Linked DNA regions of Cricetulus griseus. The protein of the gene in region 1 interacts with the protein of each later gene in a biochemical or structural test. Links are inferred from orthologs where the notes say so. Each region holds a gene or a part of one and is shown in the gene's direction. Other genes may lie near its edges.

Evidence for each region.
Region 2: the proteins of Cdk4 (region 1) and Sertad1 form a complex in vitro, tested with the Homo sapiens proteins (2 studies listed by BioGRID). The link is inferred for Cricetulus griseus from reciprocal best matches to the Homo sapiens genes CDK4 and SERTAD1.

What each region holds. Positions count from the first base shown.
Region 1 is NW_023276806.1:130,640,428-130,645,697, reverse strand, and holds Cdk4 (cyclin-dependent kinase 4), read left to right. Parts: upstream 1-1,690; 5' UTR 1,691-1,848; intron 1,849-2,303; 5' UTR 2,304-2,323; coding exon 2,324-2,541; intron 2,542-2,685; coding exon 2,686-2,821; intron 2,822-2,927; coding exon 2,928-3,095; intron 3,096-3,247; coding exon 3,248-3,357; intron 3,358-3,883; coding exon 3,884-3,934; intron 3,935-4,248; coding exon 4,249-4,384; intron 4,385-4,863; coding exon 4,864-4,956; 3' UTR 4,957-5,227; downstream 5,228-5,270.
Region 2 is NC_048602.1:8,435,430-8,440,750, reverse strand, and holds the start of Sertad1 (SERTA domain-containing protein 1), read left to right. Parts: upstream 1-1,840; 5' UTR 1,841-1,974; intron 1,975-2,569; exon of another isoform or gene 2,570-2,664; intron 2,665-3,998; exon of another isoform or gene 3,999-4,384; intron 4,385-4,484; 5' UTR 4,485-4,487; coding exon 4,488-5,204; 3' UTR 5,205-5,321. UniProt on the Homo sapiens protein: Acts at E2F-responsive promoters as coregulator to integrate signals provided by PHD- and/or bromodomain-containing transcription factors. Stimulates E2F1/TFDP1 transcriptional activity.

The sequences.
Region 1 (5,270 bases):
TTTTTTTAAAAGACTTATCATGTACATAGTGTTTTGCCTGTGAGTATGTCTGCAGGCCAGAAGAGGGCACCAGATTTCATTACAGATACTTGTGAGCCACCATGTGGTTGCTGGGAATTGAACTCAGGATCTTTGGAAGCCAAGGCAGTATTAACCACTGAGCCCCACCAATCTTACTTTATTTTGAGACAGGATTTCTCTGGGTAGCCTTGGTTATCCTGGAACTAGCTCTGTAGACAAAGCAGGCCTCAAAGTCACAGAGATCATGATGCCTGCTTCTGCCTATCCCGTGCTGGGATTAAAGGTGTGAGCCATTGCCACCTGGCTAAAAAACAATTTTAAAACAGCTCTAGATTTTAGAGTTTCTCACAGATGGGTACATGGTCTTTTATTCCCCAAATGGTGGGAGACAACAAAGGAGTTGGAGCCCACAACACAACGAATGCCAAATCTACCTGTCTACCTAGATTTCTGTGGGCACAGACCACTTGGGAAATGCCCATAAGGGCAAGAGTAGCTCTAAGAAAGCTGCATTAGAAATAAAAAGGAATGTGACACCAATGATGAGTTGCATGTTTGCAGAGGGACACAAGACGTTCTCGGGCAACATGGTGGTCTGAAGTGGTGTTGGTGACCGCCCTTGTACACGCTCACCGTTTTGTCTGTTCATATGCACAATTACATACATATGTAACACAATACAGAATCTTAGTGTTAAGAGCCTTTTAAGATCAGGCACCCTGTTGGGCCGTAGTGGTGCACGCCTTTAATCTCAGAATCCCAGCACTTGGGAGACAGAGGCAGGCAGATCTGTGTAAGTTCGAGGTCAGCCTGGTCTACAGAGAGAAACCCTGTCTCGAAAAAAAACAAAACAACAGAGTTTCCAATAACTCCTTGCTGCTTTTAATATTCCCAGGGAGGTTTGCAAGTTGGAAGAGGGGAGGGCATTACGTTGCCACTCTTCCCATACAGTGACTGAGTATATTAATCCTGCTGTCCATCTTTTAGCCCTAGTTTCCTTCTTGGATAGGAATCGTACTCCCTGTTTCATAAGGGGCCACACTTGCCTACATTAGATACCCTCATCATTACTTCAGAGGGCGAATGGCTGAGACACCAAAACAAAAACATCACATACCAACTGGAAAGGAGCCCTTAGTAAAATTTTTGTTGAATGAATGAGTAAAACGAAGGCACAGTATACGAATGCTCCTTCCCCATGGCGCTGGAGTGAAAAATGTGACAGTCCCATCTCTGGTACCAGGATCTCCCACTAGCACCCGGACCTCCCCGCCCACGTCCAGACAAGGAGTGAGACGGAGAGATGCGCACAGGCTCGGCCTTGAGCCCAGAGTTGAGAGCCGGCTGGCCCGGTTGCCATGGCACCGCCTGGTGCTCCACCCTCCCTCGCCCCCACACACCCCCTCGGCAGTCAGGGACTGGCGGCGGGTCACGTGGTAGGCGGCGTAGCCACGCCTCTGCTTCCCAGCGCAGAGCTGAGGGGTCACGTGGGATAGCAACAGGTCACGTGCCCGAGCGAGTTTCGCCCCCCCCATCCCAGGTCATCCACTGCGCATGCATGGATGGATGGATGGATGGATGGAGACCACGTGTCCGCCGCGAACGTCCGGCGTTCGCCCCCCCCCCCCGGTTTCCGCGCGCCTCCCTGGCTGCTGGTCACATGGGGAGGGTGGGGGTGAGGGGGGCCTCTCTAGCTCGCGGCCCGTGTCTATGGTCTGGCCCGTAGCGTCCAGCTGCCCGGGACCGATCCCCGGTGTATGGCGCCGCAGGAACCGGCTCCCGGGCCCAGATAAAGGGCCACCTCCGCAGCTCTTGGCCGGGCGAGAGGTGAGTGCAGCCGCTTGCAGGGATGGGGCCCGGCGCCCCGCCACCACCCTATGGATCCCCTCGTTGTGGAAGGATGGCCCAAGGGCGGGAAGCGGGGCCTTTGTGGTCGCGGCCAGCGTGTGATTTTAGGGAATAAAGTGTGCAACCTTCGATGCCAACGCCGTGCATTGTGATGGTCTTCTTTGTGCCCGGTGCGATGTCCCGTTCTCCCCCCTCCTCCTCCCCGGGAGGAATGCATTCTTTTTCGCCCCTCCGGGACATCACGTGGCTGGAGGGCTCGGTGGGAGAGTCTTTTGTGTTACCTGAGGCGCGGCACTCTGGCAGCGTGGAGGGAGGGGATGGGCGGCTGTGTCGGTGCGGTCGTGGGCAGGAATTCCTTTGTTACTGCTGGGTCATCCCCCCTCCTAGCTGTGAAGGAAAGGAGGGCTTGGTTTTAGAAGCCTCTGTGATTGTAGGAGATCTCCCTGCTCCGAGAATGGCTACCTCCCGCTATGAACCGGTGGCTGAAATCGGTGTTGGTGCCTATGGGACGGTATACAAGGCCCGAGATCCCCACAGTGGCCACTTTGTGGCCCTCAAGAGTGTGCGAGTTCCCAACGGAGGGGGAGCTGGAGGGGGCCTTCCCATCAGCACTGTACGCGAGGTGGCCTTACTGAGGCGGTTGGAGGCCTTCGAGCACCCCAATGTTGTACGGTGAGGAGGTTGGATTGGGAGTGGGGAGGAAAGAATGGGATCTGTAAGCCAGGGGTGTGGTCGTCGGGAGTGGGACCCTAGGACTCCAGAGGCCACGTTGGAACAAAGGACATTGACCGGCTGGCGACTGTTTATTTTTGTCAGGCTAATGGATGTCTGTGCTACCTCCCGAACTGATCGAGACATCAAGGTCACTCTCGTGTTTGAGCATATAGATCAGGATCTGAGGACATACCTGGATAAAGCACCCCCACCAGGCTTGCCAGTTGAGACCATCAAGGTGAGCGGGCTGCTCGGTGAGAGGTGGATCCGGGTCTTTGTAGTAGGGACTCTTGGGGTTTTTGAGCGTGTTACATGGTGTCCGGGGCTTTCTCCTTCAAAACCAGGACCTGATGCGACAGTTTCTAAGCGGCCTGGATTTTCTTCATGCAAATTGCATTGTTCACCGAGACCTGAAACCGGAGAACATTCTGGTGACTAGTAATGGGACAGTCAAGCTGGCTGACTTTGGCCTGGCCAGAATCTACAGCTACCAGATGGCCCTCACACCTGTGGTGAGTGGAAAGATGGCAGCCCCAATGGGATTCGGCTTTAGGTAGTACTTGATTTCCCGTAGCAGCTGAGGTGTGTTGTGCTTGACGTTCTCAAAGCCCAGCAGCTATGAGCCATGAAAAGGACTCTCACTCGTTTCTCCTCTTCTGTTTAGGTTGTTACACTCTGGTACCGTGCTCCTGAAGTTCTTCTGCAGTCTACATACGCAACACCCGTGGACATGTGGAGCGTTGGCTGTATCTTTGCAGAGATGTTTCGTCGAAAGTACGGGGCTTGAAACTTTTGTTTTTTAAGACAGGGTAGCCCTGGCTGTCCTGTGACTCCCTCGGAGATCCGCCTGCCGCCACCACCTGGCTCAGGGTGTGGAACTCTTAGGTCCCTTCAGTTACACAAATCTTTTGATGTTACTTATGGTGTTAGAGGTTGAAATCAGAACTGCACATACACTGGGCAAATGCTCTATACCACTAAACTACACTCCCCGCCCCTGGGTCTTTTTACAAGACATACCCGTTCTTGACCATTTTTGTGCATATGGCACTGGACGCCCCAACCTAGGCTCTTGTATTTATCAGGCGCGTGCCCTGCCACCCAGCTATAGTCCCAACCTATCCTGTTTATGTTCACCAACTTGCCTAAAACCAGAAACGATGCAGGCAAATTTCCTGAAATGTCTAGGAATTAGGAACTTTGTGTTCCCTTATTCTCCGTCCTCTCTAATCTCAGCCACTTTGATTATCATTCCCTTATTTCTGAAATAATATATACTTGGAATATTTTTCTACCTTAGGCCTCTCTTCTGTGGAAACTCTGAAGCTGACCAGTTGGGCAAAATCTTTGAGTAAGTGTCCAATAAAGGGGAAAGAAATCCCCCCCCCCCTTTTTGTTTGTTTTTTTCGAGGCAGGGTTTCTCTGTGGCTTTGGAGGCTGTCCTGGAACTAGCTCTTGTAGACCAGGCTGGTCTACAAGATCTCAAACTCACAGAGATCCGCCTGCCTCTGCCTCCCAAGTGCTGGGATTAAAGGCATGAGTCACCACCGCCCGGCTAAAATTCCCCATTCTTAATTCAGTTTCTGCTCAATTCCAAATGGCAGTTGGCCCTGGAGATGGAAACTGGAAAAAGCCCCCCTGACCAGATTTGTGTTATCCCTACAGTCTCATTGGATTGCCCCCAGAAGATGACTGGCCTCGAGAGGTATCTCTTCCCCGAGGAGCCTTTTCCCCCAGAGGGCCGCGGCCTGTGCAGTCGGTGGTACCGGAGATGGAGGAATCTGGAGCACAGCTGCTGCTGGTAGTGGGCATGGGCCAGGGAGGTGGCTCTGTGATAAAGCTTTTAGGGCATAAGTGTAAGGACCTGAGTTTGAATCCCCAGAACTCGAGTAAAAGCTATGTGTCAGTGAGCTTCTATAGTGTCTCTTAATACCAAATGGGTGGTGGAGATAGAATTCCCTGGAAGCTCACAGGTCAGATAGTCTGGTTAATACAGCACTAACAAGAAACTCTCAAACAAGGCGGAAGGGAAGTACCGGCATTCCAGACTGTCCTAACCTGATTTCTATGTGAGCATTGCCTTGAACATGCAATGAACATAGAAGAAACAACACAGGGCCCAAGGCCATTGTGGAACCAAGTTCTAGTTAGTGGACAGGCTGTAGTTTTTCCTGTTGCTATGAGTGGCCAGCAGGGTAGGATGCAGGAAACACCTGCACAGCGTTTTGGGGTGGGCATCATCCCCCTCGGCTGGTTTCTGACCTTTGCCTCCCCTCATAGGAGATGCTGACTTTTAACCCACATAAGCGGATTTCTGCCTTCCGAGCCCTGCAGCACTCTTACCTACACAAGGAAGAGAGTGACCCAGAGTGAGAAGATTAGCTGCCTCTCCTCTCCTTGGGACACTTGAGCGACAGCGAGAACCTCAACTTGTGCCTTCCTCTGGGGCTGTGGAGACACCTCCAGTTTTTTACAGAGAATATTTTAACCCTTAAATGACATTCCCCCCTCCCTATGAGGCTTGTCCTCTTGCCCTCCCATCTCTCTCTCTCTCTACACTAAAGGGTGGGTGTCTCTGTCTTCTTCCCTCCCTGATTTATACTGGGATCTTTTTTATACAGCAAAAAAAAAAAAAAAAAAAAAAGACAAAGAAATATGGTCTTTTTTTCACCCCTTTAATGTTTTTC
Region 2 (5,321 bases), on another chromosome or scaffold:
GCTTCCTAGGTAGTAGGATTACAGTAGTCAAGCTGGCTAAGTTTCTTTTTGGCCTTTGTCCTCTCCCCTGACCAAGAATAAGAAAAAACATGTCAACTATGGAGAGTTGTTATGCTTGTACACAGCCTATCCATAATAGATACTCAACTGATGTAAGTTAAAAAACAAAACAGCTCCCATGAGCTGTTTAGTGTGTGACCTGTGAGCCACTTGAGCTATTAGCAGGCTCTAGGCTGCTTTGCTTGACACTTCAGAGTTATAACGCACAAGCTGACATTGAACTCCTGATTCTCTTGGCCTCTGTATTCTTCATGTTGGATGATAATGGTGTGCCACCATGCCCAGCAATTTCTGAGACTCCTTTTGTCCAGGCCATAAAAATGAATCTTTCATGTATATGTGTTTTGACTGAATGAATGTCTGTGCATCATATGTGTGCCTGGGGCCTAGGCACCAAAGAGGATCCCAGACCCCCTGGAACTAGAGTGAAGGACAGCTGTGAGCTGCTACGTGAGTGCTAGGAACTGAACCTGGTCCTCTTTGAGAGCAAGTGCTTCTAATAATTTATTTATTTTTATTTTATGTGCATTGTTGCATTGCTTCCATGTACGTCTGTGCGAGGGTGTCAGATCCCCTGCAGCTGGAGGAACAGACAGTTGTGAGCTGGATGCTGGAAATTGAACCCAGTCTCCAGGAAGAGCAGCCAGTGCTCTTAACCTCTGAGCCGTCTCTCCAGCCCTGAGCAAGTGCTTTTAACCAATAAGCACCTAAACATTCTACTCTACTCTTAGTAAATCATCAGGCTTTTTTTTTTTTTTTCTTCAGTGCTGTAATCAAACACAGGTGTTTAACATGACGGAATGCTAGGCAAGCACTCTTTCGCTGAACTGCATCTCCCCTGGCATCTTTAAGACTAGTTAAAGGCCAGCTGTGGAGCTTAGGGCTTTAATCCCAGCACTCTGAGGCAGAGGCAAGTGAATCTCTGTGAGCTCGAGGCCAGCCTGGTGTACAGAGGGAGTTCCAGGACAGCCAGGGCTACTCAGAGAAACCCTGTCTCAAAAAAATAAAATAAAAAAAAAAATCCCCTAATTCCAGTTACTTGAGGGGCTGAGGAAAGATGATTGCTTTGTATTCCAGGCTAAGTTGAGCAACTTGGTGAAACTGTCTCAGAAAAATACAAAACAAACAAACAAAAAATTTCGCCCTTTCTTCTTTTGAGACAGGATCTCACTCTGAAGCCCAGGCTGGCCTGGAACTCAGTCTGGCTTCAAACTCCCAGCAATGCCCCTGCTTCAGTCTTCCCACGCTGGGATTATGGTTTGTGAACAACCACACTCCGAAAGGAAACAGATTTTGAGGGCTTTAGCCTGTTGTCCAAAGTCACGCCGCTACTCCGGAGGCACTGATGTCCAGGATGTGACCCTCATGCCATTATTCCATGTCCACCTTACTCCCGTCTTTAATTAGAGCGGAGCCCGGCTGGAGACAACACTCTTAACACGGTAGCTCTCAAGAGGAAGGTCGATTTAATAAACCGCGTCCCTCTCCCAGAACTCATCCCTCTCTCCAAGCTCACAAAGTGATCCGCCTGAGCCTTAAAAAACCTCCGAAGCCCCTACCTGTCACCCCGCCCAGTAAGGAGAAATCGCTACTAGTTTCAGGGCTCCGGGAGAGCTCCCGGGCATGCGCTTTAAGGACCGCCTCCCCTCCCTTGGGGACGGCCCCCCCGCAGGCTCCGCCCACCCCCACCAATGAGAGCCGAGCCCTGGGCGGGAGGGCGGGGCCGCCACGCGAGTGGGCGGGAACTAAGGATTGTGGAGTGGCCGGAGTCGTGCGCCGGAGTCAGAGCAGCGTCTCCCGTCCCGGGCGCCGGCGGTTGCGGGAGCCGGGCGAGCCGAGCGATGCGCCTGCTGCCGCTTCCTGATTGGCTGCGTGTGGCTCCCTCTTCGTTCTGATTGGCCGCGAGTGATCTGGGTATGTAAATGAGGGGGCCCGGTGGTGGTGGGGGGGTGGGAGGAGAGAGGCGGGGGAGGGTGGGAGTACCGACGGCCCGAGGTGTTTTTAGCGTGTTCGATCCCCCGGTTGGGGAGATGTTCGCCGGGGTTGTCCGGGATCCGGGCGGGCGCCCGGGGCCTGAACGTGACGCCCGTCCGGGCCGGACTGAGTGAATCACGCCGGAGCCGGAGAAGGGGGCGGAGGCGCAGGCTCCCTGGCTCCGGCTGCGTGACTCACCCGCCCCGCCGCCGCCGCGCCGCCGCTGCCGCCGCTGCTGCGCTGCCGCCTTCCGGAAGCCAGGGAAGGCTCTGGGCGGCCCGCGGGGGTCGCGGCTCGCCGGGGCCCCGGGTCTGAGGGGCCGGAGTCCCCGGGGAAGCCCTGGCCGGGCTGCCGCTAGGGGGCGCCTGCGCCCGGGGGCGGAGTCGAGGCGGGGGCTGAATTCCTGCGGTTGCCTGCCGAGGGTCTGCGCGCAAAGGGCGAGCGGGAAGGGCGAGCCAAGACTCCGGGGTCTTGTTGGGGCTGTCTAGGCAGCGTCCCCAGGGCTGAGCCTCCCCCCCTTCCCCCCCGATCCTTTGTGTCCCCCCCCCCGCCCCCCGAGATGCCACTCCGGGGTCCCAGACTCCGGTCTCCTCGCCGCATGGAAGGAAGTGTGGATTTCTCCAAACTTGGGTACTCAGTGGCCGAGCCCCGCGGCCCCCCGGCTCTCCCCGCTAACTCCAGGGGCCGCCGCTTCCTTGTGCTTAGCAGCTCGGGCTCCCCCAAACTCCAGCCGTCAGTGCCCCGGCCGCCCCCACCCCGCTCACCCTCTCTCTCCCCGATGCTGCCCCACCGGCAGCCCGCCCGCCCGCCCCCGGCGTCAGCGAAACGTCGCCTTCGGCCCCCTGCTCGACCCTCCTGCCTCCCCGGAGGACTCTGTCCTGTCACTCTGAAAATCCAAGCCGCCTCCCCCCCCCCCGCCTGCTCCCCACCCCCACCGGGACTCCTACCGTGTCACTCTGTGCGCTTGCTCCTTGTGTGGGTTTTCTTTTTTCTTTTTTCTTTTTTTTCCCTTCCCCGGTTAAGATTTGCCTCTCTCGGTCTTCCATTGGCTCTTCCGGGAATGCCCGGCCCCTGGTTCTCCATAGCTGTCGTCTACACTGCCTACATCAGATCCGAAGTATCTCCTTTACAGAAACTGCCCAAAGTACCTCCTATCGCTATCTGTGCATTCCCTCTATTGGATTAAATAATGTTTGATGCCAAGCAGACATTCTATGCCTTGAACTGTACAAGTAGGCTGCATTTCCAGCCAAGAGGCGGCACCTACCTGTAATCCTAACCCTTGGGAGGCTGGGGCAGAAGGACTGCCTGGGATAGCCAGCCAGCCTGGACTAACTACAGTGTGAGGCCCTGTCACAAAACCTGGAGCAAAACCATCCAGGCACTGCCACACATCTTTAATCCCAGCACTCAGGAGGCAGAGGCAGGCAGATCTCTAGAGTTTTGAGGCCAGCCTGATCTATAGAGTGAGTTCCAGGACCGGCTCCAAAGCTACAGAGAAGCCCTGTCTCGAAAAACCAAAATAAATAAATAAATAAATAATAAAAAAGAGCAAAACCAAAAAGTACTTACAAATAAATACTAGTTATGGTTGTTAAGAGCTTGCTATTGCTAGTTCCAGGACAGCCTCCAAAGCCACAGAGAAACCCTGTCTCAAAACTGCACCCCACCCCCCCAAAAAAAGAGCTTGCTATTGCTACAGAGGACGCAAGAGATTCCCAGCACCCAAATGGAATGGCTTATAATTGCTGTAACTCCAGCTCCAGGGACTCCAACAGGTGGCTTCCTTGGGCATCTACACTCTCGTGCATATACACACACACACACCACAAAATTTAAAATAAAAGTAAAATTAGCCAGGCATTTGTAGCTCATGCCTTTAATCCCAGCACTCGGGAGGCAGAGGCAGGCGGATCTCTGAGTTCAAGGCCAGCCTGGTCTACAGAGTGAGTTCCAGGACAGGCTCCAAAGCAATACAGAGAAACCTTGTCTTGAAAAACCAGAAAATAAAAATAAAATAAAAGTAAAATTTGAAAGTTCTAAAGACCATGATGCAAGGGCTTTTTATTCTTTTGTTAATCTAATCCATATAGCAACTTACAATGTAGATGTTAGCTGTTTCTTAGAACTTTACTGAGCAGGCTCAGTTGGTGGAATGTTTGCTTTACATGCAGGAAGCCCTGAGTTCCATCCCCAGCATCCAGTATACCAAGCGTGGTGGCATACACCTGTAGTCCCAGCACGGGGGCTGTGGGTAAGAGATGATCATAAACTCGAGGCCAGCCTGAGTTGTGTGATCCTGTCTCATTAAAAATGAGGAAGAATTTGCTTAGAAAACCTGGACTGGGAGGTTAGTTGCCTTGTGAAGCTCACGCTGACAGCAGTTGTCAGAGCTGGGTGTGACCTGAATATTGACTTTCCCTAACTGAATGGCTCCTTCCTCCCTGCAGACAATGCTGAGCAAGGGTCTAAAGCGAAAACGGGAGGAGGAGGAGAAGAAGGAGGAGGAAGGCCTCTCGGTGGACTCCTGGTGGTTAGATCAAGGCCACCCAGCAGCCGCACAGACCCCCCCGCCCGTGGCTTCCAGTTCTCTCTTTGACCTCTCGGTGCTCAAGCTCCATCACAGCCTGCGGCAGGGTGAGCCAGACCTCCGCCACCTGGTGCTGGTGGTGAACACGCTGCGCCGTATCCAGGAGTCCATGGAACCTACAACCTCCCTGCCACCCGTGTCCATGCCACCCACAGCCCCCTCTGTGGCAGACAGCCTCCTGGCTAGCTCGGACGCTGCCCTCTCAGCCTCCATGGCCAGCCTCCTGGAAGATCTCAACCACATTGAAGACCTGAACCAGGTCCCCCAACCCCAAGCCGATGAGGGGCCTCCAGGCCGCTCAGTTGGTGGTGTCCCGCCCAACCTGGGTGCCTTGGACCTGCTAGGCCCAGCCACCGGCTGTCTGCTGGACGATGGACTGGAGGGCTTGTTTGAGGACATTGATACTTCCATGTATGACAGTGAACTTTGGGTACCAGCCTCTGAGGGTCTCAAACCTGGCCCTGAGAATGGTCCAGCCAAGGAGGAAACTCCAGAGTTGGACGAGGCTGAATTGGACTACCTCATGGACGTACTAGTAGGCACACAGGCACTAGAGAGGCCACCGGGGCCTGGGCGCTGACAACCAGACCCAGGAATGGTTGGCTGCGTCTGAGTTGAGCCTGATCAGTCCACCTTGCCATGATACGGTGGCTTTCCTTTGCAGAGGGGCCAGGGTCACTTTGGAGAGACAGTACTG